Linked DNA regions of Notamacropus eugenii. Each later gene encodes a partner of the first gene's protein in a complex. Links are inferred from orthologs where the notes say so. Each region holds a gene or a part of one and is shown on either strand. Other genes may lie near its edges.

What was found. Proteins that work in one complex are often made in the same cells at the same time.
Region 2: SMARCD1 (region 1) and ACTL6B share a complex: the UniProt entries of both Homo sapiens proteins name them as parts of the BAF complex. The link is inferred for Notamacropus eugenii from reciprocal best matches to the Homo sapiens genes SMARCD1 and ACTL6B.

The regions. Positions count from the first base shown.
Region 1 is NC_092874.1:222,199,538-222,206,594, forward strand, and holds the start of SMARCD1 (SWI/SNF-related matrix-associated actin-dependent regulator of chromatin subfamily D member 1), read left to right. Parts: upstream 1-3,980; 5' UTR 3,981-4,031; coding exon 4,032-4,208; intron 4,209-4,320; exon of another isoform or gene 4,321-4,346; coding exon of another isoform or gene 4,347-4,469; intron 4,470-5,157; coding exon 5,158-5,345; intron 5,346-5,617; coding exon 5,618-5,660; intron 5,661-5,770; coding exon 5,771-5,893; intron 5,894-6,332; coding exon 6,333-6,455; intron 6,456-7,057. Other genes in the region: ASIC1 (acid-sensing ion channel 1), read left to right, coding at 370-474. UniProt on the Homo sapiens protein: Involved in transcriptional activation and repression of select genes by chromatin remodeling (alteration of DNA-nucleosome topology).
Region 2 is NC_092873.1:80,136,447-80,143,524, forward strand, and holds the start of ACTL6B (actin-like protein 6B), read left to right. Parts: upstream 1-4,000; 5' UTR 4,001-4,109; coding exon 4,110-4,134; intron 4,135-4,776; coding exon 4,777-4,853; intron 4,854-5,161; coding exon 5,162-5,327; intron 5,328-5,979; coding exon 5,980-6,080; intron 6,081-6,593; coding exon 6,594-6,691; intron 6,692-7,078. UniProt on the Homo sapiens protein: Involved in transcriptional activation and repression of select genes by chromatin remodeling (alteration of DNA-nucleosome topology).

The DNA.
Region 1 (7,057 bases):
TAAACAGAAGGGGCAGATACCAGGAAGATCATCTCAGGGACTACTGTAATAATCTAGGAATAAGGCAGTATTAATTAATCATTCTAGAAATTATTAATCTAGGAACAATCTAGGAATAACAGTTATGACAGGGATAGTGGCAATAGAAATATATGTTAGAGCAAAAAAAAACATTTTGAAAAAAGGATCAATAAGATTCAGTCATTTGAGTGGATATTGAAGGTGAAGGACAGGGAAGTAAAAAAAATTACTCCTAGTCTTCCTTTGCCATGATTCTTCATCAACCAAAGTCCAATATATTTTTCACCCTGACTCCCTTTGTTTGCTTTTCTAGTGATTCTTTCCCTGCTCTTTCTCCCCCCTCCCCAGAACCCCTGTGAGAGCCTCCGGGGCCATCCTGCTGGGATGACATATGCCGCCAACATCCTACCTCACCATCCGACCCGAGGCACCTTTGAGGACTTTACCTGCTGAGCCCTGCCAGCCGTCATACCAAAGGCCTGGGAGGGAAGAGGAGGGCAAGGAAAACCTGGGAGATCAAGCTGCTCACCTGCCCTGGGGCTTATCACTGCCCCTCCCACTTCAAGGGCAGCTCCCAACTCCCTTCAAAGTCCTTCCCTCCTAGAACTGGTGGAAGGGGGTTCTGAGTCCAGTGCCCTTCTCTACTCCCTTGCCCTCCATGTCCATACATTTTTATTTTTAACAAAACAAATAACAACAGAAATAAACTACAAAGAGAAAGGGCAAGGGACCCCAGGCTGTCCCTCTATGCCCTGTGCTGCCTCCCCCTGCTCCTAGCCTGACCTATGTCTGTTTGAACATCCATTCTCATCCTGCTTTCACCATTCACTGAAGCTCTTCCAGCAGGGACGACATGAGTGGAAAGACTCCATAGGGGTCTTGAACTGGGCCCCAGACACAGAATGTACCTTAGGAGGGAGGGCTAATGGGGGAGGAGGGCTTCCCTAGCCTTAAGAGACCCTTTCAGTAGTGTCCCTACCCTCCAGTTTTAAATCACAAGGGCAGGAACTGAGGCCCCTGGCCCTCTCTCCCTTACACTTATTGGGTGCCCTTCAGAGGTCAAGGAATAGATGGTGTTCCCTGAGGGACTTGGGACAGGATGAGGCACAGGTTTCATGCCAACATTGGTCCTGGTCCTACCCCAAAATCAGAGAAATTTTTGAATGGGATCCCTCACCCTCATTCCATGAAAAAAGATGTAGACACTTGATTCCCAACTCAGGGAGAGGGGAACTGGCACCTATTTCTCTCCTAACTCCCAGTTCCTCCCTCCAAGGGTCCCTTGCATGGGGCCACATCCATAAATTTTCTTATGGAACTTCCCCAAGTCTTTGTCCTCTATTCCATCTGTTTCTTTCTATGACTTCATCTGCATTTTCTATTTCTATATGATACAGACTCTATATTGCTATAACTGTATATACTCCCTTCCTTACGCCTCTATCTGTCTGCCCTTCCCATCCCCATCCCCTGTGTCTCTAAGTCCCATCCCTACTTCCTCCCAAATCTCCTTCTGTCTCTCTTACCAACCTACTACCAATCCCTCTGAATGCCTTCACCTGTATAAAGTGTTGGACTCTCTCCTCCGGTGTCTGTACTGTGTACACACATCCCCCTGAGAAGCACAAGGAGACGACGTACGCATTGTAACTCTCTCACTGTCTTGGACATAAAGGAAGCTGTGAATCATAAGCTCTGCCTCTTTCTGGCCTGCCCCCCAACCTACCTATGCTTTGAGCACTCTCTGCCCTCCCTGTAGCCTTAAGGCCTCTTCCTTCCTTTCCATCAGTCCCATTATCCCCCTTCTGACTAGGACTTTCCTCCTGGGGGAAGGGGTGGACACAGAGAATTGGCACTTAGCTCAGAGGATAGATATTCCCTCTTGGCCCCAAATCAGGGTGAATTATAGATGATGGAATCCCTGGAGCATGGAGATAAGGTGTCAGGGACAGCGTAAGGGTGGGAAACAACCCATAGTTTCTAAAGGTAGCCACTGAAAAATATATAGGTGGCTAGAAGATAGTGTCTAAGGCCCTCATCCCCAAGGCTATGTCGGCTAGGGTCAAATTCTCCCCATTACTGACTACCCATCCTCTCTTACCTGGGGTCCAAGCCTGTACCTCCATTGCTCAGATTTTAGGGACAAGGCTGGACTTCATAATGAGATAGGACTAGAGGAAGCGTTGGGAGCTCATGCTGTTACACTATCTCCCCATCCTCCCCCTGAGAAATAAGATGAAAATAGAGGTTTGCACCTTCCAATTCATCTTTCTCTATCTCAGATGGTCCAGAAATATCCCTTCCATCCTAAGGCCCTCTTGCTTAGAGCTCCCTGGGGGAAGGCCCCAGCCAACATAGCCTCTGATGATGAGGATGAGGCCACTGACATAATTCTAGGAGATACTTGTTCTCCCCTCTCCATCCCTGTGCTGGGGGAGTGGTAGGGATTTCGGAGGAAGACATTGCTGGGAGTCTATAAATACCTGGTTCCTGGTTGTCACTTGGACAGAGAGCAGACCTCCCTGTAGAGAAACAGGAGGAAGTATGCTCTAAGCAGCTGCGGTGACAGCCAGCAGGATGGTGGGTGAGACACTCCTCTGGTCTAATAAACTGGGTTTCAACCATCTCCCCTCACAGTGTTGTTTTTAATTGTTCATTCGCTGGTTCAACAAGTATGTGTGGAACACCACTTGGCACTGGGTTCAAGGCTTAGAACCCTGCTGGACTTGGCACCAGAGTGCCAGGGGCGGACAAGAACCCCGAGAGGGCCTGGATGGTCATTTTTAGACCAAAGATCTTTATTCTTTTGAGCTAGGACTGCCTAACAGAGGACCAACAGTGGGCTTGAGTTTCAGGCGGGGGAAAGAGGGGGTACAAGGAGAGTCCCCATGGCAATGGGCAAGGTAGTTCGGGTCTAAGGTACGCAGTAGTATCTACGTGAACTTTTATACGCTTTACAAAAGAAAGCTTTACGAATTCTCTCCCTGGAGCGTCACAGTACCTGTAATACCCTAAGTCGCGAGTGCCCACCTCCCCATTTTACAGGAAATTGAGGTCCATCTGCCCAGGGTCATACAGCTCATTAGTCTGAGGTCCGACTACGTCATGCCTAGGACCAGTAAAACTTGGGGGTAGGGCAGATCCAAAGGTGAGGAGGGTGACTCCACCCCGACACTCCCGTTTCCTAGCCGGGTGCCCGCGGGCACATCACGGACGCGCTCCGGGAGGTTCCCAAAGCGCCCGGGCGGCCTCGGCCAAGTAGACCCCCGGGGCCCGGAGCCGGGCAGACCCTGCTTCAGATCCTGTCCCAGCCGGGCGCCCCGGGGCGAGTTCACTTCGCCTGCCTGCCTCAGGGTCCTCCTCTGTACAACGGGGGTAAATAATAGCCCCCACCTCCTCGGGATCGTTGCGAGGATAAACAAACCCACGGCGCCTGCAAAGCTCCTTTCGAACCATGGAGCGCGGTACCGAGCCGAGCCAGCCGAGTTACGGAGCCTGCTTCCGTGTGTGCCGTACGGGCGATCGAGAGCCTCCCCCGCCGCCTTGGCAGGAAGAAATGAGACAACCCGAGGGCAGCAAAGCGCTTCTTAAGCAGCGAGCGCAGCTACACCCGGCGCTGCCCGGGCCCGGCCCCGCCGGCCGGCCCAGCCTGGCCGGGGTAGCTGGTGCCAGGTGCGCGCCGCGCTCGGGACCGGAGACTCGGCGCCTGGCCGCCCTCCGGCCGGCAGGGGGCGCGGCTCAGGGGCGCTCTCCCCCGCAGCTCCTTCTCGCTGGTTTCTCCGCCTAGGGCCAGCGGGCCAGGAGGAGGGGACCGCCCGCCTCGCCTTTTCCACCACTCCCTTCTAGCCCGCAGTCTCGTTGCCCGAAGCCACCCCTTCCCTATCCCGGGCAAGCTCCGGAGGTCTGGGGGTGGGAGGGGGGGTAGCTGAGGGGGAAGGGAGAGTGGCCGAGAGAGGGGGGAGTTCCGGTTCCGGTTCTTTGTGCGGCGGCGGCAGCGGCTCCGGGGGAAGATGGCGGCCCGGGCTGGTTTCCAGTCAGTGGCTCCGAGCGGCGGCGCCGGAGCTGCGTCAGGGGCGGGCGCGGCGGCCGCCCTGGGCCCGGGTGGGACCCCGGGGCCCCCGGTGCGAATGGGCCCGGCGCCCGGCCAGGGGCTCTACCGCTCTCCGATGCCCGGAGCAGCCTATCCGGTGAGTGGGGGCGGGGAAGAGGGGGGCAGGAGGAGGGGCGCGCGGGAGGGGGGCGGGCCCTGCGGGTGAGTGGCAGAAGGGGCTGGGCCGGGGGTGCCCGGAGGCGGCCGGAACCGGGGAGAAGGGGAGGGCGAGAGGATGGAGATGGAGCTGGCCGTGGCCCGGCGGCTTGGGGAGAGGAGCGAGCTGCAGAGCCAGGCGCCTCCGGTCCGGCCGCATCCCTCCCGGTGTGCGCTTAGGGAGGCCGGACCGCGGGAGCAGGTTCGGCGGAGGTCCTGGGTTCAAATGCGGCCGCCGCTTGACGTCCGCGTGCTCTGGGGCCAGTTCACCCAGCCCTTGTGGCCTCGGCTTCCAGGTCCCTAAAGTAAAGGCGCCCCTTCGTCCTAGGGTTAATGTCCTACGTACAGCTTGCAGCTTCTGCATTCAGATTTGGGAGATGGGCCAAGGTGACCTCCCAGGTCCGGTCCAACTCTGGTTCTGGCTCTGTTTCTTTGGAAGGGTACGGAGTTAGGTTATAGAGGAGAGGCTGAAGAGGGAGTTCTGATCTACGGAAGATTAAGAACTCCACGGTGTCCTGATAACCATTGAAGGCATAGTTGTCAAAGAGATAGCGACTAGAAAAGAAGAACCCCAAAGGAACAGGAGGCTTAAGGGAAAGAGGAAATCCCAGAACAGCAAGGAAGCGTGTTTATGCATTAGAGGAGATGGGGCGGGCTAGATGACATTTTACCTTGGTCTCGTCCTTTGGTCCTTTCTTCTACTTTGGGCTGGTCCGCCTTCTCAGGAGCCAGGATCCTGGGTAAAGGAAGCTCCAGTTAGCCCACATTCATACAAGGTTCTAGGGTTCTCCCATTTTCCCCATACCTTTCCCTGAGGTAACACAATATTCTTTCTAACATCCCACAGCTCGGGACAGCTATAACATCTCTGTGTTGTGTCTCACCTACAGCGTCCAGGCATGTTGCCAGGGAGCCGTATGACACCTCAGGGACCTTCTATGGGACCTCCTGGCTATGGGGGGAATCCTTCAGTTCGACCTGGTCTGGCCCAGTCAGGAATAGATCAGTCCCGAAAGAGACCAGCTCCTCAACAGATCCAACAGGTCCAGCAGCAGGCGGTCCAGAATCGAAATCACAAGTAAGACACTTCTGGGAAGGGTAAAAGCAATTCTATGGAGACATAGCAGCTGAAACTGGGGAGTGTGTCTATAAACCTATGTGACTCATGAAACTACCTTATCTGAGTTTACCATGGGTTGGGGGGATTTTTCTCTGGTCTGAAAGAAACTTTTCAGTCCCTGGGCACCCCTTTTCCTCTTTCTCATGCATTCATATGAGGATGCCGCCCTCCCCATTTTCAGATTCTGGTCAGTTCCATCCCAGCCTAATACCAATGTTTATTCTGAACAGTGCAAAGAAAAAGAAGATGGCTGACAAAATTCTACCTCAAAGGGTGAGTCTAGCACGCCTTCCCCATGTCCTGAGTCTCCCCTAGGGCCCCTATAGTACCCGTGAGTTTGAAAGCAAATTTTATATACCTGACTATATCTTGCTCCCCTTTAGATTCGTGAGCTGGTACCAGAATCCCAGGCCTACATGGACCTCTTGGCTTTTGAAAGGAAACTGGATCAAACCATTATGAGGAAACGGCTAGATATCCAGGAGGCCTTGAAACGACCCATCAAGGTACAGGAAACTCCTCGGCAGAGACCCAAGAAAGAGGGATTCAGGATCCATCAGCAGTCTAAGAAATTGAAAGTTCACTGTAGATCTCCCAGACGTATTTAAATTTCCCCTTTTCCCTAATAGCTAATTTTATTAGAAGTACCAGAATAGAAAAAGGAGAAGAGGGCCCACTGTTTCACCAGAAATCTTTGTACTTTTGATGTCACTGTTGTAATTGAGTCCTCTACCCAGGAACCCAGTTGGCACTGTGAATATCCTCGTTTGTCTTGCATCCTTATTTATGCACTGTGGGCTGGTTGCCCATTCATTTCTCCTAGTTGGAATCTCTACCCTCCCCAAGGGACTGGGCAGACAGCAATTTGTTCTGGTAGAATTAAATGGTTAGGGCACAGTATTGTTTCCAAAGCTCTATACTAATCTTTGTTTCTACCCCCTCCAGCAAAAACGGAAACTTCGTATTTTCATTTCGAATACTTTCAATCCAGCTAAATCAGATGCTGAAGATGGGGAAGGAACTGTGGCTTCCTGGGAGCTTCGAGTGGAAGGAAGGCTCCTTGAGGATGTGAGTGTGATGTTCACACTGGTAGGGACTGGGGGTGGGGGCATCTAGAGAAGAGCAATGTCTTTCTGGTCTGGAGGGACCCTGAACGGTGCTCACAACTCCTTTCCAGAGCAGCAGGGAGAGGGACGTTCGGCTCCTTGCGTTGGAAGACAATGGCTCTTTGTGTGCAGCTCCCACAGCTTTGGCCTTCACTGCCATATCGTGTTGAGAACACTATTGTCCTGTGATCTGATTTGCTGTTCACTTCCCCCCTCGGCTCGTTCTGGCCATTAATGGTTTCCCAGGTTTCTGCTGATTACCTTGGTTTGGGCTTATTTATCAAGTGAGTTTGCAGGTTTTTCCCCCATATGGCATTTCAAGCCATGACTTCCTGTCTGAATCCTTAAGATCCTTAATTCCCATTGTGTGATCTCCCTTCTCTCTGCTGTTGCTGAGAACAAATCATGATTTAGAACAGGCAGATTTCTCTGACATGCTATTCATTATTTCATGCTGAGTGTCAACGGGGGGGTTGTGAGCCCCTAGACCTCCCACCCCCACTTGCTCCTCGGGGAAGCTTATTTTTTCCTCATTACCTTCCATTGTTTACCCCTTAGCCTGTT
Region 2 (7,078 bases), on another chromosome or scaffold:
GGTTCCTAAATCCTTACCTGGTTCTAGAGGTACCACTGAGGGGTTGGAGAACACCTTTCCTTAATGCTGTTGGTACCAAGCCTCATTCTGGTGTGTTCTTATCATGATTATGTGGTAGTTTTCAGAGAGGGTATTCAGTAAGGTAGTACCATAAGGAGAGTTGGTACAAAGCATCCTCTTCCCCCACCCCCACCTCAGTCTGACAAACTGGTGGGAGACACCAGGGGTGAATTGGCCCAAGTTTAGCACATGTGGCAAAGTGGTAAGTTATGGCTCTTGATTGTTGGAAGATCTTTTTCCCTTTCATGTGGTGCTCAACAAGTTCTTCCATAGCAAAGTGAATATTTGTCCAGTTTTTGCTTGACTTGAATGATGACAGGGAGATGGGAAGGTCCAAATCCTCTTGATTCTCCATATTTTTTAAGGAGGAAGGAGAGACTTAGGCCAAAGTAAGATTGGAAACCTTTTGTAACTTTCCCCGCCCCAAGCAGTTTCTTCTTAGGAAGTGTTACTGAAAGTCACACTTGCTCCAATCTCTGGAATAGTGCCAGTTCTCAACGCAATTGATAATTTGTCTGAGGATAGTGTAAGGACTATCTGAACACTTAGTATTCAAGGACAGATGGGTTCCTCCTTTGAAACTTATTCTTACCTCATTAAGGCATCAGGGCATACCTTATTATAAGGTGAGGAGGCTTGATTGAGTAAATCCATGAACCTCAAATTTACATATATTTTTTGTATTTTTTTTTTTTTTTGGTACATGCTATTTTCTCCCAATAGAATGTAAACTCCTTGAGGTCCAGGAGATAGTTTCATTCTTTTGTTTTGGTATCACCAGCAATTCGTGGCACAAAATAGGCTAGGTATTTGAGAAATATTTATGTAATGAATATTGAATGAACAAATTCTGCCTAATTCCTCCTCATGGACAAGTCCTGCCAGTTTAAGTGAATACACAGCTACACATATAAAAATGCATGTACCAGGGCCTAGGAAACAAACTCAGGAAGCATTTATTAAGTGCCTTTTATGAGCAGTGTGGCATAGTGGAGAAAGAGCCAGCCTCAAAATCAGGAAGACCTGGGTTCAGTCCTGACTTCTCTTAACTGACTCTGGACCAGAAATATCAAACTTGGAGTTTGCCAGTCACATATGACCCTGCAATGCAGGACTGACCCCATGCCAAATTAAACTGTACTTGGGAAATATCAAAATAAATAAAAATACAATAGAACATAAATTATATTAATATGTAGTTTTCTAAGTCAGTATGCACCCTGCAAAGATCCTTATATATGATTTCTATTTTGAGTTTCACACCACTCTAGGCAACTCTCCAAGACTATAAATTGCAAAGAAGGTACCAACCTGCATTGACTGAAGAATCCCCTCACCCTGGAACTCTCTACAAATAAAATCATTGGTCCAGGCTCTATCCTTAGAATGTACCAGGCTCTGAGCTAGACACTATAAATAAATTTTAAAAAATTATTTAACATAAATTTGGCTAGCTAAAGAAATGTATACTAATAAAAAGAACAAAATAATCTCACTTCACACACAGCGTATATTTTAAAAGAGAAAACTGCCTAAAGTCAATAAGACATCACCTGGAAGGGACCTTAGAACATCCAATCTAATCCCATTCTCTCTTTCCTCCTTTTACCTTCTATCTCTTTAAAAAAAAATCCCCAAGAACCTATAATAAATTCGATATACCCATATAATTCTTTGCTGACAGCAGACTCATTCTAGAATCCCAGTCTCTTAGACGTAAATTAGTCAACCCTTATCCTGAACAGAAATTCCCTCTACAGTGTATTCAACAAATGGTCATTCAGTCTTTGTCTGATGAACTCTAGTGATTAGTAGCTCTAATTGTTAAAAAAAATTATTTTTTTCCTTTTTGAATAAACTTAAGAAACCCATTTTCCATGATTGTTGCTTATTTTTTATTTATTTTATCTCTCCTCCCTACCTAGGCTTAACATTGAGGTTGCTGGTTATTTTAACAGGGTACAAAACAGTAAAACAAAGATACAAATATTTAAACTGTCAGCTGTCAAAAAGTTCATATTCCAATTCGTCTTTGAGGATCTCTACAGCTGCATACTTCTCAGTTTTAGGATGATAATCCCAATTTGCAACTATCTCTAGATCCAGATTAGTTAGAAAGGTAGAAAACAAATACTAAATGCCAAGTATGTGCCAGGCGACTAGCACTAAGCTCTTTATAAATAGTATCTCATTTGATCCTCATGACAACCTTTCAAAAAAGAGTTATTTTCATTTGATAGGTGTGGAAACTGAGGCCAATAGAGGTTAAGTGATTTGCCCAGGGTCAGACAGCTAATAAATGCCTGAGGTTGCATTTGAACTCAGGTCTTGACTCCAAGCCCAGCGCCACTGCGCTACCTAGTGGCCAATTAAAATATTTTTTATTTTTTAGAAGGATTAAATTTAGCTCTCTCAAGAAATGTTTTCTTTTGTCATTTCTTCATTCAACACAGTTAACAGCTTCTCCAGAACAGTTAAACTCTTAAGTCTCCTACAGAACAGTTAAACTCTAAATCTCCTAAGACACTGCTTATTCAACTGTCACTCACAAGATTCCATTGCCTTTTAATCCAGTAACATTATTGGGGTTTCTACTGAAGGAGTTATTGAAGCTAGTGTCTCATTTATACTTAGATAAAATATACCTGTGCTTCTCTCTCTGTATTTCTGTGTCTGTCTTTTTCTTTTCTCCCTGCCTCCCCCTTCCTATTGCTCCCATAGAGTAGAAAAGAGAGGAGTGGACTTGCAGTTAGGAAAACCCAGGATGGAACTGCACACCTCACTCACCAACTTTATCACACTGTGCAAGTCACTGAACTTTCAGCATCTTCAAAATGAGATGGTTGGACTCAATGACTTTTAAGGTCACTTTTAGCTCTAGATCTTTAAAGTCCTTTGAGTCCAAGAATATGTCTAATCCCTATTCTACATGACAAATCTTCAAATATTTAAAGACATATTTCCCCTAAATCCCCTAAAATTTTCTTTCTATAGGTTTCTTATTGAAACACCACCTCCAGTGCTCCAGCATCCGCACCAAATTCAGTGTGCTTTGAGGAGTGGAGAGTGAGGAGCCAAATCAAGATTCTAAGATGAATCACTTGAGCTATCCACTTGATTTTCACTTTATAAATCATCTCCTGAGCCAAACAAGGAGAGATCTTCATAGTTTCGAAAAGGCTCAAAAAAGCCCAAACCAAAAAGAGGAACAGACCTGAATTCAGTTGCAGGAATTCTTGGCCTTGGAGTCTCTGAATTTTGTATGTATGCTCACACACATATACATATACATATAATACACACACACACATATATAGTATGTGTTTATGCTCACATCCATATACATATATATACACACACATATATATGCACACTATTTTAATAAAACTGGTTTCCTTTGTAATTCTATGTGTTTTATGCATTTAAAAACATCATTCTGAGACACACACAAAAGGTTGAGTCACCAAGTTAAAGGTTAAATACAGAGAAAGAGAAGATTCTTCCATCCTTCCACGCTGATTCCTCCCTTCTCTCCCTCTCTCTTTTCCTTCTCAGTTTCCGGGCGTTCTCTCTCACCCTGTGGCCTTCGTTTTCTCCTGAGCCTGTCTTAGGACCACGTTGGCTCGTTAGACTCCAGGCTCAGTCCTCCAGGAGACCTAGCCTAGGACAAAGACCACACACGCCACTCTCACCTCGGGGCCTAGATCTCAGGATAGAGGGGCTTTCCCACCTTCCTCTCCCTTTTTCATAGCCCACCCCCGCCTCGACCCTCTTATCCCCTCCCCCTCCCCTTCAGAAATTCCTGGAGGCACTTGGCCCTTTAAGACCGAGGCGCCGGCCTAGGTTATTGTCTGCGCTCCCCACCAATTGAAAGCGTGAGTGGGGGTGGGGGATCCGGTATTCTGATTGGCCGGTCCTTAAGCACCCTCTCCCCACCTCCTGGGTCCCTGGAGCTGTCCGGCTATCTCGGTGCTGATCCCGCTGCTGCAGCTTTGGGTCCTCGGCCTGGAACCACCGCAGGAACTGGAGCCGGAGTGGAAGCAGCCACCATGAGCGGAGGTGTCTACGGAGGAGGTGAGATAGCCCCGAGACCCCGGCCTTCAAGCCAGGTCATTTCACACCGCACCCCTAGCCTGGGGGGTCCAGTTCCTGCAGCCCCAGTCCTCCATTCCTGGTAGCTCCTAGCTGGTTTATACCTGCAGGGCAAATGTCCCATGGCCAGCATTCGTCAAGCGTTCCTCACCTTCCTTAAGGCCCTCAGCGCTCCTGCTGCTCCCTTATTAGCAGCTCACTGACAGGCTGTTATACTCTTCTCTCAGGCAGTCCCTCACCCCAACCCAGAACCTCAGATCTTGTGGATGCTAGGAGCTCCCACCTCCCCACCTCTGCATATATAATTGCCCCCTCCATGTCCAGCATTCCACAAATCTCCCTAACGTGTCTATGTTCCTACTGTTCCCTCAGATCCCATAAATGATCCCATGGCCAAAATGCCCATCTGAGTTTTGGCTTGTGGAGAAGACTCCTCCCTCCCCTCTGACCTCATGTCCACCTGGTCTCCCTTAGGTGGAGTTTATGGGAGGGGGGAGAGTCTCCACACCCCGACTTCATCTCTCTCTGGGTCTTCTGAGGTGGGGTTTGAGGGAGGGAAAGCCCCTCTGCTCTGACTTGCAATCTCCTCCCCCTCCTCCTCTCTCCCCTTGGACACACACACAGATGAAGTTGGAGCCCTGGTTTTTGACATAGGTTCCTTCTCAGTTCGAGCAGGGTATGCTGGGGAGGACTGCCCCAAGGTGAGCCTTCCAGCTCCCCTTCCCAACTTTCCTAAAGTCTACATCGGTCCTACTTCTCTCCCTCTTGGTTCCCAGAACCCACCCCCTTCCTTCATACATAAACACCCTGAAGGAGTTAAAAGAAGGCTCCTGATAGTTTGGGAAAGTGTTAATATGGGTTCAGTAGAATAGTGATGTGAGCCCTGGGAAGGGGATGGGTTTGGCAAGAACAAAGGCATGTGGTAATTGGGATGGGGTTGTTTGGGGATATAAAGTAATGTGGAGAAAAGAAAAGGTGACTGTAATCTGCTCTCCCTTCCTCCCCCTAGGCTGACTTCCCCACTACTGTAGGGTTGCTGACGCTGGAGGAGGGGGGTGGGCTAGAGCTGGATGGAGAGAAGGAGAAGAAGGGGAAAACATTCCACATCGACACCAATGCCCTGCATGTGCCACGGGATGGGGCTGAGGTCATGTCACCCCTCAAGAATGGCATGAGTAAGGGAAACCCCAATATCCATTCCTGGGAACACTACTGCTGCAGCCCTTGCCCCTGTCCCATTCATTATGACCACAGTATGCCCCTCACCAACCCCCACCCCAGACACAGCCAGTTGTTCCAAAACTGATCAGGACCTCCCCTCACCAGGTCCCAGGGCTACCCAGTTTCTCTTATGTCCTCTCTGCCTCCCCTCCCTCAGCTTCAACCATACTCACTTCCTAGGTCCCTAGAGTAGGGAAAGGGGTCTGACTTTTCTACTCAGGTCTACCCCCACCCCATTTTTCTCTTCCCTCCTGTCCTCACCTCTCCTGCCTACACGTGTTTGTCTCTTTCTTTTTCTCACACACCCTGACATATACTCCTGTCTTTATTTCTTTCTTCATTTCATTTACTGTCTTCCCCTGAAACATCTGTCTGCCTGTCTCTCACTCTTTCTCTCTGTATTTCTTTCTATATCTTTCTTTTTCTCTATCCTTTTCTCCCTTCTCTCTGAAACTTCTTCTGTGTTCCTCTTCCTGATTTTCCTCTCTTCACTATCATCCTGTCTCCCTCTTCTCTCTGTTTCCCTTCCCCACATATCTGTCTCTTCCTCTCTCACCACCCTTCCTCTCCCATCCCTCTGTCTCCTCCTCCCCTCCTGGTGCCCAGTTGAGGACTGGGAGTGTTTCCGGGCCATTCTGGATCACACTTACAGCAAACATGTCAAATCGGAGCCAAATCTGCACCCTGTACTCATGTCTGAGGCCCCGGTACGTACTCCCAGCTCTGGGTCCCCTTGCCTCTGGAGTTTGTCCTCTATCTTAACCAGCCTACCCTAGAATCCTTCATCAATCACCTTATTTCTACATTTGACCCCAGCCTTGGGATCTCAATTAGCCACCCCATCTCTCTCCCCCTCAAAATCTTCATCAAAACTGAACCCTATCTCCCCTTTCCTCCAATTATCATTTCTCTCCCTACCCTCTCCACAAGTGTTCCTCATTTTCACATTTATACACCCCTCTCCCATATCTCTCTGAATGGGGATAGTATTCATTCACTGGGGGTAGGGAGGAGGTTTGATAGTAAAGATCATTTTGCATTGTGTTAGTTGGCCTGGTCCCTAGCCTCTCTGCACTCTAAGTGTGAGTGTTTATGAACATGTTCATTTGGGTACATGCGTATGTGTGCATATTAGTACATAAGCCTGTGTGTGTGTGCTTGTTAGCTTATTTATATCCAACCTAAACCCCTCCTTATCCTCTCTCCCCTCCCTCCCATAGTGGAACACTCGAGCCAAAAGAGAAAAACTCACAGAGCTAATGTTCGAACAATACAACATACCTGCCTTCTTCCTGTGCAAGACAGCAGTGCTCACCGCGTATCCCCTGGGCTGGCCACAAAAAGGGGAGTCATGGGGGCACACTGGGAGCACCAAGTGAGGAAGGTAGTTGGTTGCTGAAGCAAGCTGAGTCTGGGCCTGATTCGGTAGAGTGAGTGCCCTCCAAGATTAGGGAACTAAACCCCTTCCCACAATAGAGGACTAAGTATTGGCATTTTCTCCTAACCCCTCCTGACTCCACTTGGAGGAACAGCTAGCTGAAAGGGCCTGAACAGCTAAGATGCCCAAGAACAGCAGACTAGCAGGACTAAGAGAAGTAGAAGTTCCCTTCTCACACTAATTCATCCCTACCCCCACCCCCAACCCAAAATAGGATGAGGCAGGAAGGCAGGAAAAAACAATACTCAAAGAAAGGGGGTGGGGAGA